2 linked regions of the Arabidopsis thaliana genome follow. The protein of the gene in region 1 interacts with the protein of each later gene in a pairwise test. Each region holds a gene or a part of one and is shown in the gene's direction. Other genes may lie near its edges.

Region 1 (8,168 bases):
TTCCCCGGTGGGTCACTGCCGGAGAACGGAGACTTCTAGTAGGTAGAGCAAGAGCACACGTGGTAGTCGCCAAAGACGGTTCCGGAGATTACCGCACCGTGATGGAGGCTGTCACGGCTGCCCATGGAAATGGTAGGTTCATAATTTACGTGAAAAGAGGGGTTTACAAAGAGAAAGTAATAATCCATAAACATGAGATTACTTTGATCGGAGAAGGCAAAGACCTGACGGTGATTGTTGGCGATGATAGTGCCACCGGAGGAACTTCTGTCCCGGACACCGCTACAATGAGTAAGTACATACACTCATTCATTCGTATACATAAATTGTTTATAACGAAACTTTGTTGTTTGATAATTAGAATGCAATTTTTGTAGCGGTTACGGGTGACGGATTCATTGCACGTGATATCGGAATCAAGAACATAGCAGGGCCTAGAGGACATCAAGCCATAGCATTAAGCATCACATCAGACCAATCAGTGTTATACCGATGTAGCATCTCCGGTTATCAAGACACACTTTACGCAGCTGCCTTGCGTCAGTTCTATAGAGAATGTGACATTTATGGAACTATAGATTTCATATTCGGAAACGCAGCTGCTGTTTTCCAAAGCTGCAACATATTCTTGCGTCGCCCTCATGGTGTCAAGGCCTATAATGTTATTCTTGCTAACGGGAGGACGGACCAACGTCAAAATACCGGATTTGCACTTCATAGTTGTAGGATCAGGACAGACTCAGATCTTTCGCCCGTGAAACATAAGTATAGCTCTTACTTAGGACGCCCGTGGAGAAAGTATTCGAGGGCTATAGTGATGGAATCATATATTGACGACGCGATCGCGGAGGGAGGATGGGCCGGGTGGTTAGACTCCGGAGACGAAGTACTAAAGACGTTGTATTTTGGAGAGTTCAAGAATTATGGTCCTAAAGCTAGAATTTCCAAGAGAGTGACGTGGGAAGGGTTTCATTCGATTGGGTTTGAAGAAGCAAATTATTTTAGCGTCGGTAAATTCCTAGATGGAGTTTCTTGGTTGCCCTCTACGGGAGTTCGTTTCACTTCCGGGATTTAGTGAAAAAAAGTAAAGAGAAGAAATGGAGAAGACGTCACTAATGGTTTTAAGTATAAGTTTAAGATTAAGATACAAATTTAGAGTTTTTACACCAAAAAAAAAGATACAATTTAGAGTTAACCATCGAATGTAAATTCAATTTGGTATGGTCATGAATATATTTGAAACTTAAATGTAAGACTTTCTTCTTTTTCTTTTGGTCAAACAAATGAAAGAGCATACCAAATTGTTAGTGATAATTGTTTATGATATTTTATATGAATACTAGATAAGGCCGCCTATTTAGGCGGTTGTAAGATACAAAAATAAATTTTTATCGATAATATTTGAATATTGTATAGCAATTTATATATTTTTCTTGATATTTAATTTAATAATTATTGGTGTAAACAAAATTTCAGTCTTATACATTTTATTTTAATTTTATATACACTCAATCTTATCAATGATATTTGAATTCTAGAAAGTAACCGACCATTATTCTATATTTAATTTAGTATCTAGAAAAAAAAAAAAAAAAAAAATTTCTATCTTACACCATTCAATTTTGTAATACAGTTTAACTATATATGTCATCATAATAAACTCGATTTAAATTCTACAACTTCATATTGAGTTTCATATCAAAATAATATTTATGACATATCAAATCTATATCCTAATTAGTATTAAAAATAATTAACAATTAACAAAACATAATTAATAGGCCTACGCATAATACCCAAACCCGAAGAACCGACCCGAAAAACCCGATCCGAACCCGGACCCAAAATTTTCAAATACCCGAACGGGTCTAAACTTCAAAACCCGAAAAACCCGAACCCAAACCCGAATAGGTATCCAAACATATCTCAAATATAAGTATATATTAGTTATATTTATACTTATATATATAAAATATTAGGATGTTTTGGATATTTTAGTTATTTTTGTGTATTTTTAGATATATTCAAGCAAAACTATTCGTGTTGTTTTGGGAATTTTTAAAATTTTCAAGTAATTTAATAGATTTGCAGACAAAATTTGATATTTCAATAGATAAATAAACTGGAATCCGAACCGAACCCGACCCGAAATCTTAAATTACCCGAACGGGTCCTAAACTTCTAAGTCCCAAAACCCGAACCCAAAATACTCGACCCGAATACCCAAACGCCTAGGGCTAATAATTAATAAAAAAACAGAAATCCACAAAAATATTTAGAAACCAAACATTATTGAATATTGTTTTTTATATATGCCGTAATCTCGTAAGTTAATTTTACATCATGCAAATTAATATTAAATGAGTTAAAATTAATAAATAAAAATATTCTCGTTAAAAATAATTGAAAAGTTAAATCCTATAAGCTAAGTTATTTTTCTCAAAATGTTCTATTTTCACTTATGATTACATTAGTTAAAGACAAATTTGTTAATTTTCCTTTTGTTGAATAAATGTTAATTGTTTATAAATATATAGATATATAAATTAGTATATGTATATTTGTTTACTTTTTAAGATTTTCTATTTTTTAAAAAGAATAAAAAAATAAATTTTGAATGAAATATGTAAACATCTGATCGTTTGACTTGACACGTTGCACGATCCTATGAGTTAGTAACTTTGAAAACCATACTTTATATAATAAGATACTACATTAGTAAATATTTGACTTGACAACGTAAGGACTAAAAATAATAATTTAAAACTTTATAATTAATAAAGCAATAAGGTTTATATTTCGGTGGTAAAGCAATTGATTGCAGATCAATAAGTCACCGTTTTAAATCCGATTAAATCTTATAATTTTTACAGTTTATCAACAATTTTTTATTAGAGCTTTATTTATACATTTGATTAGCTTTTAGCAACTAGTAGCTAACTAATCTTATATTTCAAGGTTCTAGCTCGCAATATTTCATTTTTAATAAAACATCTTTGACAAGTTTTTGTATATAATTCTTTAGCAAGTGAATATGTTTTTCTTTATAATTTCAAGGTTTAATTTGTTTGTGAAAATTGTTTTTGATAATTTATATGATTACTAAATAAGTAAACAATTGACTTGCTTATATTAGATTTCTTAGCAAAAAAACAATTAATGAAATAAACAATTTATGATTTTGAACTTATTAAAGCAATAAAGGTCCATAGCTCAGTGGTAGAGCAATTGACTGCAGATCAATAGGTCACCGGTTCGAACCCGATTGGGCCCTATATTTTTTCAGTTTACCAATATTTTTTTATAAGAGCTTTAGTTATATATTTGATTAGCATTTAGCGTCAAGTAGTTGGCTAATCTTATATTTCAAGGTTTTAGCTAGCAATTTTTCATCCTGAATAAAACAAATTTTGACCAGTTTTTATATATAATTCTTTAGCAACTGAATTTTTTTTTTAAAAAAAAATTCATGGTTTAATTTGTTTGTGAATATTTTTTTTAAAATAATTTATGTGATTTCTAAATAAGTAAACAATTGACTTAAATATATTAGATTTCTTAGCAAGAAAAAATTGATGAAATAAATAATTTATAATTTTGAACTTATTAAATCAATAAAGGTCCATAGCTCAGTGGTAGAGCAATTGACTGCAGATCAATAGGTCACCGGTTTGAACCTGGTTGGGCCCTATATTTTTTCAATTTACCAATAATTTTTTAGAAGAGCTTTAGTTATATATTTGATTAGCATTTAGCATCAAGTAGTTGACTAATCTTATATTTCAACGTTTTAGCTAGCAATTTTTCATCTTGAATAAAACAAATTTTGATCAGTTTTTGTATATAATTCTTTAGTAACTGAATTTTTTTTAAAAAAAATTCATGGTTTAATTTGTTTGTGAATTTTGTTTTTTAAATAATTTATGTGATTTCTAAATAAGTAAACAATTGACTTAACTATATTAGATTTCTTAGCAAAAAAAAATTGATGAAATAAATAATTTACAATTTTGAACTTATTAAATCAATAAGGGTCCATAGCTCAGTGATAGAGCAATTGACTGCAGATCAATAGGTCACCGGTTCGAACCCGGTTGGGCCCTATATGTTTTCAGTTTACCAATAATTTTTTATAAGAGTTTTAGTTATATATTTGATTAGCATTTAGCGTCAAGTAGTTCACTAATCTTATATTTCAAGGTTTTAGCTAGCAATTTTTCATCTTGAATAAAACAAATTTTGACCTGTTTTTGCATATAATTCTTTAACAACTGAAATTTTTTTAAAAAACTTTCATGGTTTAATTTGTTTGTGAATTTTTTTTTATAAATAATTTATGTGATTTCTAAATAAGTAAACAATTGACTTAACTATATTAGATTTCTTAGCAAAAAATAATTCATGAAATACATAGTTTATAATTTTGAACTTATTAAATCAATAAGGGTTCATAGCTCAGTGGTAGAGCAATTGACTGCAGATCAATAGGTCACCGGTTCGAACCCGGTTGGGCCCTATATGTTTTAGTTTACCAAAAAAAATTAAATATCATCTTGAATAAAGAAAATTGACAAATTTTGTGATATTTGTAATATTTTATTTTTGTTATAATAAGTGATTACTACATTGTTGGAATTGTGGTGGTTCTCGGCGGTCAAACACCTAGGTACCATTTGGTTGACATTCAAACACCTAGGTATCACTCGGCGGTCAAACACCTATTGTTTTTACAAAACGTTAATTTAGTGTTTTAAAAATATATAATTTTAAGTAAAAATAATTTAAAATAAAAAAATAATTTTGAGAATCCATAATTCGATCAACTTTGATAATATCTAACATTTATAATTTCATGCATTTAACTGAAAATTTAAAATTACTATGGTACTTAATTAATAATAAAAATGAGGAGGATTTTGTTGTTGTTTTTGAGTATTTTATAGAATAAGAATTTGGGCTTTAATAGCCTTTAAAGCCCAATATGATCAAGGCCGAGGAAAAGCTGACCCAAACGTAATCGAGACTTGTTGAAGAAGCCTTTGCCCTCATCGTCGTCTTGTATAATAATTTTGGTTGTGGCGCTTCTTTCAATTTGTTTTCAGTTTCGCCATTTCCCTCCACTCTCAAGCTCTCTTTTGCTTCTCTCGCTTTCTCTGGTGACCCGAATCTGCTCTGATTGAGAGAAATGACGACGATGGAGCAGCGTAGAAACCAGAATGCTGTCCAACAACAAGACGATGAAGAAACCCAGCACGGACCTTTCCCTGTCGAACAGCTTCAGGTTCAATTTCTGCAGATTTCTTTCATTTGTTGTGGAAATTTACCTTCGCAGTCTATACGCTTCATCAGATCTTGCGCTAATTGAAATGGGTTCGGCTTTAATTCACTAAAAATTTCTGCTTTTTTTGTACATCGCGATGTGAAATAGGTGTGAATCTGGGCGAGAATTGAGTTTCGCTACTGTCTGTTAGGCGAATTGGTTTTAGGGGTTCGTTTAATTCAGAAAAAAATCGACACTTTTTGGGGGTTTTATCCTTTTCTGGGGAACTTCTCTATTGCTGTGACTCCAGTGTCATATAATCTCTATAGTTCTTCTCAATTCGTGTTCATAAAAGGGAGATGCATCAGTGTGTTTTGTGTTATGATTATATGCTATTTCATCTCTTTAAATCTTCAAAACTTCAGGCAGCAGGTATTGCTTCTGTTGATGTAAAGAAGCTTAGGGATGCTGGTCTCTGTACTGTTGAAGGTGTTGCTTATACTCCGAGGAAGGATCTCTTGCAGATTAAAGGAATTAGTGATGCCAAGGTTGACAAGATTGTAGAAGCAGGTATTACACATGTAGAAACTTTTTGCTTTCCTTCTCTGTTAAATACATAACACCTCTTTGATACTCTTAGAGTTAATGTGTGTTCTTATTTGTGTTTTCTTCTGTGATAGCTTCAAAGCTAGTTCCTCTGGGGTTCACTAGTGCGAGCCAGCTCCATGCTCAGAGACAGGAAATTATTCAGATTACCTCTGGATCACGGGAGCTCGATAAAGTTCTAGAAGGTTGGTGCTGGTTTCTGGTGCATCTTATAACGGCATTTTGTTATTGTGATCTTACTTTGCCGTATGCTCAACAGGAGGTATTGAAACTGGTTCCATCACAGAGTTATATGGTGAGTTCCGCTCTGGAAAGACTCAGCTGTGCCATACACTGTGTGTGACTTGTCAAGTAAGAACCCTGTTCCTATACCACTCAGTTATTGTTGCTTATCTAGCAGAAATCAGTGATCTTGTCTTTCTTCTTACAATTTCCAAACCTGAGAAAGATATTCACATTAAGGTTCACGTTTGAATGATTAGCTTCCCATGGATCAAGGAGGTGGAGAGGGAAAGGCCATGTACATTGATGCTGAGGGAACATTCAGGCCACAAAGACTCTTACAGATAGCTGACAGGTATGTTATTCTTGTAACACACATGAGATCACAATAGCGTTCTTGAGACGGAATCATCTGTAAGAAATCAAATGAAATGATGCAGGTTTGGATTAAATGGAGCTGATGTACTAGAAAACGTTGCCTATGCGAGGGCGTATAATACAGATCATCAGTCAAGGCTTTTGCTTGAAGCAGCATCAATGATGATTGAAACAAGGTGTGTTGAGTTTATTTTGGTGTTCAGTTCCGTTATGTCTATCATGAGAGTGCTAACTTTTAAAGTTACGATGACCCTATTGGCACAGGTTTGCTCTCCTGATTGTCGATAGTGCTACCGCTCTCTACAGAACAGATTTCTCTGGAAGGGGAGAGCTTTCGGCTCGACAAATGCATCTTGCAAAGTTCTTGAGAAGTCTTCAGAAGTTAGCAGATGAGGTGAACATTCAGTACTAACTGTTTCTTTTCCAATATTGCTCTGAGACACCATCCTGAAGTATTCTCTCTTATGTTTAATGGCTCTAGTTTGGTGTGGCTGTTGTTATAACAAACCAAGTAGTTGCGCAAGTAGATGGTTCAGCTCTTTTTGCTGGTCCCCAATTTAAGCCGATTGGTGGGAATATCATGGCTCATGCCACCACAACAAGGTCTGTAATGTTTGCAAATTCGACAAATCCATGTTTCTTAGTGTTTTTTGTTAGGGTTCGTTAGGAAAGTGTGTTTGTTATGATAATTGATACAGGTTGGCGTTGAGGAAAGGAAGAGCAGAGGAGAGAATCTGTAAAGTGATAAGCTCGCCATGTTTGCCAGAAGCGGAAGCTCGATTTCAAATATCTACAGAAGGTGTAACAGATTGCAAGGATTGATGTTTTTGGCCACAACAATGCCTTGCTTCTCTCTGCCTTATGTGCTTTTTTTTAGCAACCCCTTCACTTGTATTGATGTCAAAAAACCGTTTTCTTTTGTTTTTGTTTTTAACTGTTGATCATAGTGTAAGCGTACAAGTAAGTGATGATGGAGCAAAAGAGCTTTGTAAGTAAAGTTTTTCGGGTAATGAACCTTTTGTGTTTCACAAACGCACACAGCCTCGTGGTTTATACAACACTACTAAATTTTAACCCACGGTATACCGCGGAGACAATTTATTTTTTAAAGTTACTATATATAAAAGTTTGCAAATTATATTTATCGTAAAAATATTTTTATTTTATAGTTTACGATTGTTATTAAGTAACGTCCCGCCAATCCGTCCCGTAAAAAAAACTCACTGATTTTATTTATGATATGTTTATGAATCATTGTCTAAATATTTTTTAATTTTGTAGTAATTAAATGCTATCTAATATCTCTGCGGTTTGATGATTATAATCGAATTATTATAGTCATGTAGAAAAACAATATCAAAATGATAATTTTGTAGTAATTAAATGATATTAAATATTTCGGAAGTTTTATTTTAATAACTAATCGTGTAGTTAATGTGAAGAGATTTTGGGAAGATTGTCAAATATTTAATTCAAAGATTTTCTTTCTAATTATCAAAAACAATTATTAAATGCCAGTGGCAGCCACTGTAAATAAATTCCAACTCTAGGATTTATTTCACAAAGTGGCTGCAAAAATGTATATATAGATATATTACTTAGTGAACAATCAAATATTAACTAACCATTACTTACAATTAGAATGTCTTATGGTTTATCATGTTTTTTATATACTAATAGGCATTTAATCACATTTCTTTTT
Region 2 (9,358 bases), on another chromosome or scaffold:
GTCCAGCTAAGAACTTAGATAAGAACATTGTAGAAGAAGTAGTTGGTAAAAGACACGAGTTGGAGATAGCTGAAGCGGTGGAAACGTAGTTACTTGACTACAGACACAACGTTTCTTAAGGAGGAAGGTTTTAAGGGTGGTTCATCCTGTGTCACGGCTTTGGTTAGCGAAGGGAGCCTTGTTGTGTCAAACGCCGGTGACTGTCGTGCTGTTATGAGTGTAGGAGGTGTAGCTAAAGTTTTATTTTCTGATCATTGTCCGTCTAGAGATGATGAACGGAAAAGAATTGAAACCACGGGAGGATATGTTGATATGTTTCACGTTGTGGAGAATCCAGGGATCCTTAGTTGTGCCAAGAGGAATCGGAGATGCTCAACTTAAGAAATGGGTTATAGCTGAACCAGAGACAAAGATCTCGAGAGTTGAGCATGACCATGAGTTCTTAATCTTGGCATCACATGGTTTATGGGATAAGGTGAGTAACCAAGAAGCAGTAGACATTGCTCGTCCCTTCTGCTTACGAACCGAGAAGCCATTGTTGTTAGCAGCTTGTAAGAAGCTTGTTGATCTCTCGGCTTCACGAGGCTCGTTTGATGATATCAGTGTGATGTTGATCCCATTGCGGCCAGTTCGTATAGAAAAGAGAGGCATCTTAGAAGATGTTAGATATATGACATTAGAATTTCTATGATTTAGTCCTTTTGTTTTACTTAATTCACTCATTCCCAGGTTTTTTCGAGTCATTTTCAAGGTTTCATCCTCAAAGGCGAATTCAATAGCAAGGGACATTGCTATAAGTGTGACAAGGGATGGTCGTTTCAGATCTTATTTAGCTAGAGGAGGCCCTGGATGGTTACTTTCCAGAATTGAAGAAGACAAGCGATGATGACTTTGTGAAATTTTCTTTTCTTTACCTTTGGATTTTTTTTTTCTTTACCTTTGGTTATTGTTTGGAGTTTTCATGCTCTGTTTTTTTATGGATGTATGCTCTATACTCTGTTTTGACTTTTCAATTAATATTATACCAGACGGCAAAAAAAAAATTGAGTGAACAAAGCTAAACTCAATGTGGCTTATGTTGATCTTGTCTGGTATAAACATTGAGCTTTATGATGGTGCTAAGAATTTGATCGAGTTGGACTCCAATGTTAATGTTGAATGAGCAAACAAAAAAGTGTTAATTTTATCGAGCTATAAACACATTCGCAGCAAATCAAAGACATACTTGTCCATTAATGAATGTCCAAGAAGTCCAGTCCATATGGTTATCTAGTGACTCACATGGTAGTTTCATACTAATACATAAGTTTATACATGAACAAGAAACTATCCAAGCAGTCTAGTCCATATGGTCATCTAATAACTCACATGGTAGTTTCATACTAATACATAAGTTTATACGAGGAACAATAAACGTCAATCCAAAGTACATTATCCATTATGACCATTTATCCACATGTGTATAGACAGTTAAGTAACAATGATATGTAACCAAGTTTCTTGATGTGCATCTCAGGTCTCAAAGTATACTCTAACACTTTACAAGTAGCCATCCACAAGCGACCATTTCGTGTTGACCATATATAGTTATACTTGTACGGATCAATTACAAATTGAAGAATAGTTATGATTTATAAGGATAACCAAAACCCAAAATTATTGAAAAAAAGAGATTGAAAAAATAGTTTTTTGAGTTAATAGTCGATGGAAACTATTTTGGGTACAAAAGAGGAAACCAACATACAAAAATGGTCACCGAACCTGCAAAAGTACATTGTTCATATGGACAATACAAAATGGATACCACAACATTGGAAATAGAAGCATATAATGAATTTTTTGGTGTTCAATTAATCTATATTGGATCATACACTTGAAATGGTTCATTTGATATGAATACTTTGGCATTGACGAGACGTTAAATACTCAAAAAGCCATATAATTTGACAGCAAACTTAGAGACAAGTTCAAGTAAAGTACGAGAGGAAGGTAAAAAGAAACGTGTCCAAATATCGTTGTCCACAAAGCTCTGTTCATTTAACACTGCTAGATCTTCTCGATTGGATTTTAAGTTTTAAATACAAGTCAAAGTTTGATTTTAAATACCAAACATCTCAAGATATAACATAAACAATCACAAGTTCAAGGGACTAATCTCTTCACCGGTGCGAAAGTTTAATAAACACACAATTATCAATAGTCAATCTCGTTTCATTATCTTTAATCATGTTACGAGAATGGTGAGTCCATAACACAATCCGTTACACAACCGTCAATTACAATTTCAAATACTAATTTGTCCATAACATATCCATGATAACAAGTCCACATAAATTTGTTCACATAAACGTCGCTTTATGGAAATATAACATAGATTTCAGCTAAACAAGGAATCATTTCCTCTAAATGTTTCCTAATAACATAATCTCACAAGAGATGGAGGTTTCGATTTCAATGGAGACATTCCAGCGATTGAAGCAAACTAGTAGAAAACTTTGTCAAATTCCAACTCCTAAATATCACCAGCCATGCTTAACACCAAATTTAGCCCAGCTCGAGAAAAAAAATTGTTGAAAGTGAGACTTACGTGAGGAAGATAGATAAGCTGAAAGAAGAATCTTAATCTTTGGTACAAGGTTCGTATTCAAGTCGAGATTCTTGAGCGATCTTGGTAGCTTCTCTTCCATAGTATTCAGTGCAAGATTTATGATCGCCGAAGATTCGAATCGAGGAATATTTGCGGACGCCATATCAAATTGGATAAACCAAAGAATATAGAACCCAACATCACATAACTTTACCTTAGTAATTCAAGAACTTTTTCTCGAAATCTACTCAATTGAAGTTGAATTAGAGTAACGAAATCCAAATCCATTAAAGAGGAGATTGATATCCCCTCGCCGAAGTCACAAGGGTATAAAGTGGTTGAGATTACGAAATCGATTATTGGAGTTTTACGGTGGAGAGAAGAAGAAAGAAAGTAGTGTAAACCGTAGTGGTGGTAGACAGTAACGGAGGAGATTGATATCCCGTCGTCGGAGTCACCTTTTCTGAAACTGTAGTTTAGGTTTTTTCTGGATTTGTTTTTTTTTACAGTTCCGGAAAAAATAAAACAAGAGATTATGGTAACTGCAAAATCAAAATCGTGGGTTTCGTAACCGGAATTGGTTTAATGAAAATGGGTTTGATTTGTTTGGTTATATATAACCGACGATTTGAGGGTAAACAAGTAATTGCAATTAGTCAAAGTGCCTAATGATTTTTAAGTGCCTAATATTCTCTATGTAAAAATATAAAAAATAAAGACGAAAGTTTAGAGGAAGCATATCCGAAACACAGTAAAACCCAAAATACAGACAATAACGGGCTTACTATTGCCCATGAAGAAACTGGGCCCGATAAGCAACTGATTTCTAAGGAAACTACACGCCGTTTCTATCTACACTATTACACTGCATGACGTTCTACGCGTCAAGCTGGTGAGAGAGTAAAGGAATGTGTGGGTCGGTGGTTTCAGATTCTGAGCGCGAATTTGAATTTCATTTCTGGGGTTTTGGGCATTTGGGGAAAGAGGAAGAGAGGATAATGGCGGGAAAGCGTTCGTCGCCGTTTTCTTCTCCGTTACTGAGACCACCACCGGAGTTTCTGAATGTGAAGGAGGAAGGAGAAACGGAGACGCCGTGTTGGAGAAAGGAAGTGGATGAGAACTTGAAGCGTCTCCAATCGCTGCTCTTCGGCGCCGACAAATTCCTGGAGAAATCTGATTTCTCTTCTGCTCAGATCCTTGGGCTTCGTCTTCTAGGTTTCCTCGATTCTCGTTCTGTCACTGACGCCGATCGTGATTTCATTGGTCCCATTCGTCGTGAAGTTGCCTCTAAGATTGATTTAGCTTTGGAAGGCCTCGTTTCAGATTCGGATCGGTACCTGAGCTTTTCCCCTTTGAGCCTGTTTAATTTCGAAGAAGAGAGGGTTCGAATTTTACTTGCTTAGCTTAGTAGAGTCTTATGAGTGTGGCTTGAATTGTTGGGTATTGGAATCAGGGAAATGTATAACTGAGTGATATTCTCTAATCTTTGGACTTCGTTCACTTAGTTACTAGCTGAAATCTAAAGATCTTTTTGAATTATCGTCAATATTAGCTACACTTGAGATTTTTAGAGTACCCTTTTATGGTGTGCTTCTTGTTGTATCCAGGAAGGCGTTTGAGCTTGCAAATACAGCTCCAGGGGCAATTTTTGGCAGCAAAGGTGGATTTGATGTGGAAAAGATTAAGCAGTCTAAGTACTTTGGTTTTCATGTCAGTCAATCTAACGGAAAGGGTGTTAAAGAGATGGTAATGCTCTTGTAAACTGCTTCATTTCTTCAATGATCTTAGTATTGGTGATGAGTTTTGGAAACACAGCCATGTTATATGTCTTGCTTCCTGTTTCTACTATGATTTCATAGATGTTTTCTTGTTTCAGGAAGAACGGCATGATACGGATAAGTTGATTCCCAAAGCACCAAAGTCAATGATGCAAGCCAAACTGACATCATTGTATGGAAACAGTATTGGTAAACCAGATAATCAGCGCAAAACTTCAGTGAACAATCAAGACCGTGCCTCTGATGAATGTGTCATTGTTGAGAGAAGTCATGGATTTGGTTTTGGAACAAAGCGACCTCATGCAGAAACCAGTAGCCTTGCAAATGATGGGGAAGTAAAGGAAGATGGAGCTCCTAATGGATTTGTATCCGCCAAAATAAAACTGGTAGATTTATTCATGACAATTACTTCTCTTAGAGTCATCTTGACTTTGCAGAGTCTTTTCTTTCGAACTGTGCTTTATTACCCTTTGCTAATGTTGACTACTATATCTGTTGCTTTAGGAAATGGATGTAAGACAAAAACGAGGATCAACTGAGTCACCAAGTTCATGTCTTTCTCCACAGAGTGACAAAAATGCTTTAGGTAGGGGCTATGGTTCAAGGTCGGGTGGATTAAGACGTGGATACCGTAGTAATTTTGTCCCTCCTGTTAAAACTAATGGGAATAATGTTGGAAACTTGACGTCTCGTATTGGTGGAAAGACTGACGATGCACTGGATGACTCAACCAGAACATGGTTAGTTGCGTAATTTCTTATTTTGATTCAAGATCCTTAGCAAACTGGAAAGCACATGCACCCTTTTTATATCCTCACCTTCGACAATAAATAAGCTTATGTAATCTGTTTTTCTTGTCAATATTTCTTGATTTTCACCTAGATAGGCTATGCCTGTCTCTGCCCTTCTCTAACTAAGTTTCTATATTAAACATTTTTTGAATTTATTTCACATTGAAACACTATGAAAAGTAAATAAAAAATAGTATATGCATGTCAATAGGACTAGCAATTTAAGCGTCTACACTCATCTGGTGGTTAGCCAGTTAGGCCCTCGTTCTTATTTAGAATGCTACTTCACATAAGTTTCTAATTATCCAGTAGCCTTCTACGCCTGTAAGCCTGAAAAGATTAATTTTATATTATGAGATAACATGCATGCCCATTTACTTACTATCCTGTTCTAGTTTGGAGATGCTCTGTGGTCCTGATGGTGAGCTTCCCGAGAAGTTGAGAAATTTGGAACCTCGTCTTATAGAGCATGTCAGCAACGAGATTATGGATCGAGACCCCAATGTCCGCTGGGATGATATTGGTACAGTAAGATGTTTCAGTGCAGTGTATATTATTATCCCTGTTGCACCTGGAGTTTCTCATCATAAGTTATTGATGTGCAGCTGGTCTGGAGCATGCTAAAAAGTGTGTAACTGAGATGGTCATTTGGCCATTGTTGCGTCCTGACATTTTCAAAGGTTGTCGTTCACCTGGAAAAGGACTTCTTCTCTTTGGCCCACCAGTAGGTACCCTTGTCCATTTTGATATTTAAGATGAAATGACACTCGTGTCTGTTTTTTCTTAGATCTGTATCTACTGCATACCAGGGAACTGGTAAAACAATGATTGGAAAAGCTATAGCTGGAGAAGCGAAAGCAACCTTTTTCTATATATCAGCCAGTTCATTGACAAGCAAGTGGGTTAGTTCCACTTCTTTGCTTACTTTCACATGGATATTCGTAAAATTACGACAGTAATTATGTTCCACTATGTCAGAACTTCTACATAGCAGGGAAACCCGTACCATTTTCTGTATGTCAGTGATTTTGTTCCTGCTCAAGATGTCTATAGCATGCTTATTCATTTGCTTTACGGTCACCTGCAAATTTAACGATCACAAATGTAAATGCAGATTGGCGAAGGTGAAAAGCTAGTGAGGGCCCTTTTTGGAGTTGCGAGTTGCCGCCAGCCTGCAGTAATATTTGTCGATGAAATAGATTCTCTACTATCTCAGGTTTGTTGTAATCTCTCAAAATATTACATGTTCATAAACCCTCAAACCTATCAGCGTAGAACAAGGGCTGGAAAAAATTACAAAGGGTGGTTCAGTAAAGACAATTTTCTGGCATGTATTGGTTTCCTTATGTAACATTCTATTAAAGAAACGAACTTTCACCCTTTGCCACAGCGTAAGTCAGATGGTGAACATGAATCGAGTAGAAGACTCAAGACACAATTCCTGATTGAAATGGAAGGTTTCGACAGTGGCAGCGAGCAAATTCTCCTAATAGGTAAAAAACTGGGAACAGTAAGGTTTGAGTTTTGTGGGTTATATGGGGTTTAGTAACTTTATTCTGCTAATTTTTTTTGTTTGTTAGGAGCAACAAATAGACCGCAAGAGCTCGATGAAGCAGCAAGAAGACGACTAACCAAGAGACTCTACATTCCTCTTCCTTCATCTGGTAAAGAATGATAAACAAACTTTTTCATGTCATTCTCTGGTTTTCGTCTAATATACTCTCTTGACACGATTCTCTGTTTTCGAATTGAAGAAGCAAGAGCATGGATAATACAGAATCTCCTAAAGAAAGATGGGTTGTTTACTCTGTCGGATGATGATATGAACATCATATGCAACCTAACGGAAGGTAAATTCATCATAGGAACTTCAGAAACACAATAAATCTCTGGATTTTTGATCTTTAAAGTCCAAAGAACACAACCCAAAAATGCAAATACACATTTGCGGCCATAACCAAGCTAGCTTTTCATTAAATTTCACTGCAGGGTACTCGGGATCAGATATGAAGAACCTGGTGAAAGATGCAACTATGGGTCCATTAAGAGAAGCTCTCAAACGAGGCATAGATATAACTAACCTGACTAAAGATGACATGCGTCTAGTAACTCTTCAGGTACATAAAATCAAAATGAAGATTTTTTGTGGTATCATCATGTTTCGGGTCAAACTTAAATTGATGATATGCGAACTCTGTGAATACAAACATGTAAAGCTAAACGAATTCTTTTTGTTTCTGTCATTGTTTCATATATTTGGTCATTATGCAGGACTTTAAAGACGCATTGCAAGAAGTAAGGCCTTCTGTTTCTCAGAACGAACTTGGAATCTATGAAAATTGGAACAATCAGTTTGGTAGTTTAAGCCTCTAAGACTGAGACAGGTGAGTTATACAAACAATCTTTATCATATATTATCTTTGAGCTAAGGCCCTTTTGTTTTCCGGAATATACATTTGAATTTATCTATTACAGTTATAAGATATACAACAATGCCAGTATGCCACTAAATAAATACAAGAGTTTTACAGTACCTATTTAGACCTAGAGTCCAATCTCTCATTTCTTCTTTGCTCCTTCTGTATTGTTCCTGTCCAAGAATTCAAGACAAACCTTAAAACGACCCACAAAAGTAAAAACTCAGGTTCATATACAAATGTGTGCTTATATGAAACTTACCTATACATGTTTATTTCGCTTCCTTCCTTTTAAATCTTTAACAACGTCACTAAACCTTCTGTACTGTGCTTTTTCGATTTGCCCGTTTCAGGAGACTTTTGTACTCGAGACTCCTGGACCACTCATCAATCTCACGTGCACGAAGAACCGGCAATGGATGCGAAAGTTGACTAGTCTGAGCATTTCTGTAGAAAAGGAAAATATGTAAACAAACAAAGAAGTGAATCTGAAGGAAGAATAATCTAAATTTTGTATAGTTTTAATTTTCTCACCTTATGTACCATCCCAAGGGGCTTGAAGAAGCTTTGTCATATGAACGGGCTTGTTCTAGAAATGCGTCAACATTTAGCTGATCAGCGATTGATGGACATCCTCCGGCTAATTTCATCAGAACAGATACAACAACCTCTTGGAAGCGACATAAGAGAGATTATAAGAACAATAACATAAACATCACTAGGTATTTTCGCATTCTGTTTGATTTCTTCTTGTTTTTTAGAATTGGTACCTTTGGATCTTGGGCGACGAGTAGTGCTGCGCGATCACAAGTCAGCTCTGCTGAACGTAGCCAACGAAGTAACTGTTCTTCCAAGGTTCGAGCTATCATTTGCCCAAAAGCTACAAACAACAGAATCCAGTTTAGTAACAATAACAGAGTTTCACGCCGGCTGCAAACTGAAACTTATGTGAGTCGATAAATAGATTTCCGGGATGAAGTCACTATAATTTTGTCAGACTGACACAGAACAGTAGATACAAGTGACTTGGACATGTAGAAGAGTGTGGTATCTACCAGGAACTGTATAAGCCCCAAGAGTAAGAATATTTGCAAATGTGAGCCACACGCCGTGATCACACTTCAGATGGCCTAGTTCATGGGCTAAGACAGCCTAGTTTTGAGGTATAAAACTGTCAGATTTTGGTAAAATTAGCCAATATGTAGTATCTATGGTTAGGTTCAAAAGTGGGTTCAATCAAAAAGCATTGAACTTGTAATGCAGAAAAAAATATCTTACCTGTAGCTCCGCGCTAGTAAGAAGCTCGATCAAGCTGGTGTGGACAACAATAAACGGCTTCTTACCGCTTATTGCCAGCGTATACGCATTAGGAACAGGACTCTGTCGCACATATAGATCAGGAGCCTCTATATTCAAAATCTCAGCAGCCTCAACCAACAAACCGTGAAGATCAGAGAGCTGAGACAGCAAATAAAAGAAACATTACACATCACTATTGATAGACAAATACATAATGTCCACAAAGACACTGATCCACAACTAACCTGATTCTTGGAAACAAGAACAGAAGTCCCAATGTTCTCAAGAAGCATAATCTGCTCCGTCATTGACCCTGCAACATCCCCAAAGTCGTTAAATCACATAATCTGTTTCAAAATCTCTCTTTGTGCCAAGTAACTAGAAAGAGCCACACCTAAAAGAGCTTTGCCGAATTCGTTCAACCCCGGTATAGCCCTTAGTAACAACGTGTTCTGCATCAAAAGACAGTGCATTCAAACTTTGGAT

What was found. Proteins that work in one complex are often made in the same cells at the same time.
Region 2: the proteins of RAD51 (region 1) and AT3G27120 interact in a two-hybrid assay, tested with the Arabidopsis thaliana proteins (one study listed by BioGRID).

Annotation. Positions count from the first base shown.
Region 1 is NC_003076.8:7,069,878-7,078,045, reverse strand, and holds RAD51 (RAS associated with diabetes protein 51), read left to right. Parts: upstream 1-5,079; 5' UTR 5,080-5,185; coding exon 5,186-5,281; intron 5,282-5,685; coding exon 5,686-5,830; intron 5,831-5,940; coding exon 5,941-6,051; intron 6,052-6,125; coding exon 6,126-6,217; intron 6,218-6,348; coding exon 6,349-6,443; intron 6,444-6,528; coding exon 6,529-6,642; intron 6,643-6,730; coding exon 6,731-6,860; intron 6,861-6,947; coding exon 6,948-7,069; coding exon of another isoform or gene 7,070-7,133; exon of another isoform or gene 7,134-7,164; coding exon 7,165-7,288; 3' UTR 7,289-7,555; downstream 7,556-8,168. Other genes in the region: AT5G20860 (Plant invertase/pectin methylesterase inhibitor superfamily), read left to right, coding at 1-291, 378-1,075. UniProt on the Arabidopsis thaliana protein: Binds to single and double-stranded DNA and exhibits DNA-dependent ATPase activity. Unwinds duplex DNA. Component of the meiotic recombination pathway.
Region 2 is NC_003074.8:9,998,419-10,007,776, reverse strand, and holds AT3G27120 (P-loop containing nucleoside triphosphate hydrolases superfamily protein), read left to right. Parts: upstream 1-3,470; 5' UTR 3,471-3,495; coding exon 3,496-3,920; intron 3,921-4,194; coding exon 4,195-4,333; intron 4,334-4,463; coding exon 4,464-4,751; intron 4,752-4,869; coding exon 4,870-5,105; intron 5,106-5,551; coding exon 5,552-5,679; intron 5,680-5,761; coding exon 5,762-5,880; intron 5,881-5,965; coding exon 5,966-6,058; intron 6,059-6,270; coding exon 6,271-6,372; intron 6,373-6,546; coding exon 6,547-6,649; intron 6,650-6,736; coding exon 6,737-6,820; intron 6,821-6,910; coding exon 6,911-7,006; intron 7,007-7,145; coding exon 7,146-7,273; intron 7,274-7,427; coding exon 7,428-7,529; downstream 7,530-9,358. Other genes in the region: AT3G27140 (Protein phosphatase 2C family protein), read left to right, coding at 1-77, 136-237, 338-661, 752-886; AT3G27110 (Peptidase family M48 family protein), read right to left, coding at 7,885-8,020, 8,108-8,241, 8,344-8,453, 8,629-8,725, 8,852-9,031, 9,118-9,185, 9,267-9,324. UniProt on the Arabidopsis thaliana protein: Involved in DNA double-strand break (DBS) repair via homologous recombination (HR). Limits class II meiotic crossover (CO) formation by regulating the invasion step of meiotic HR.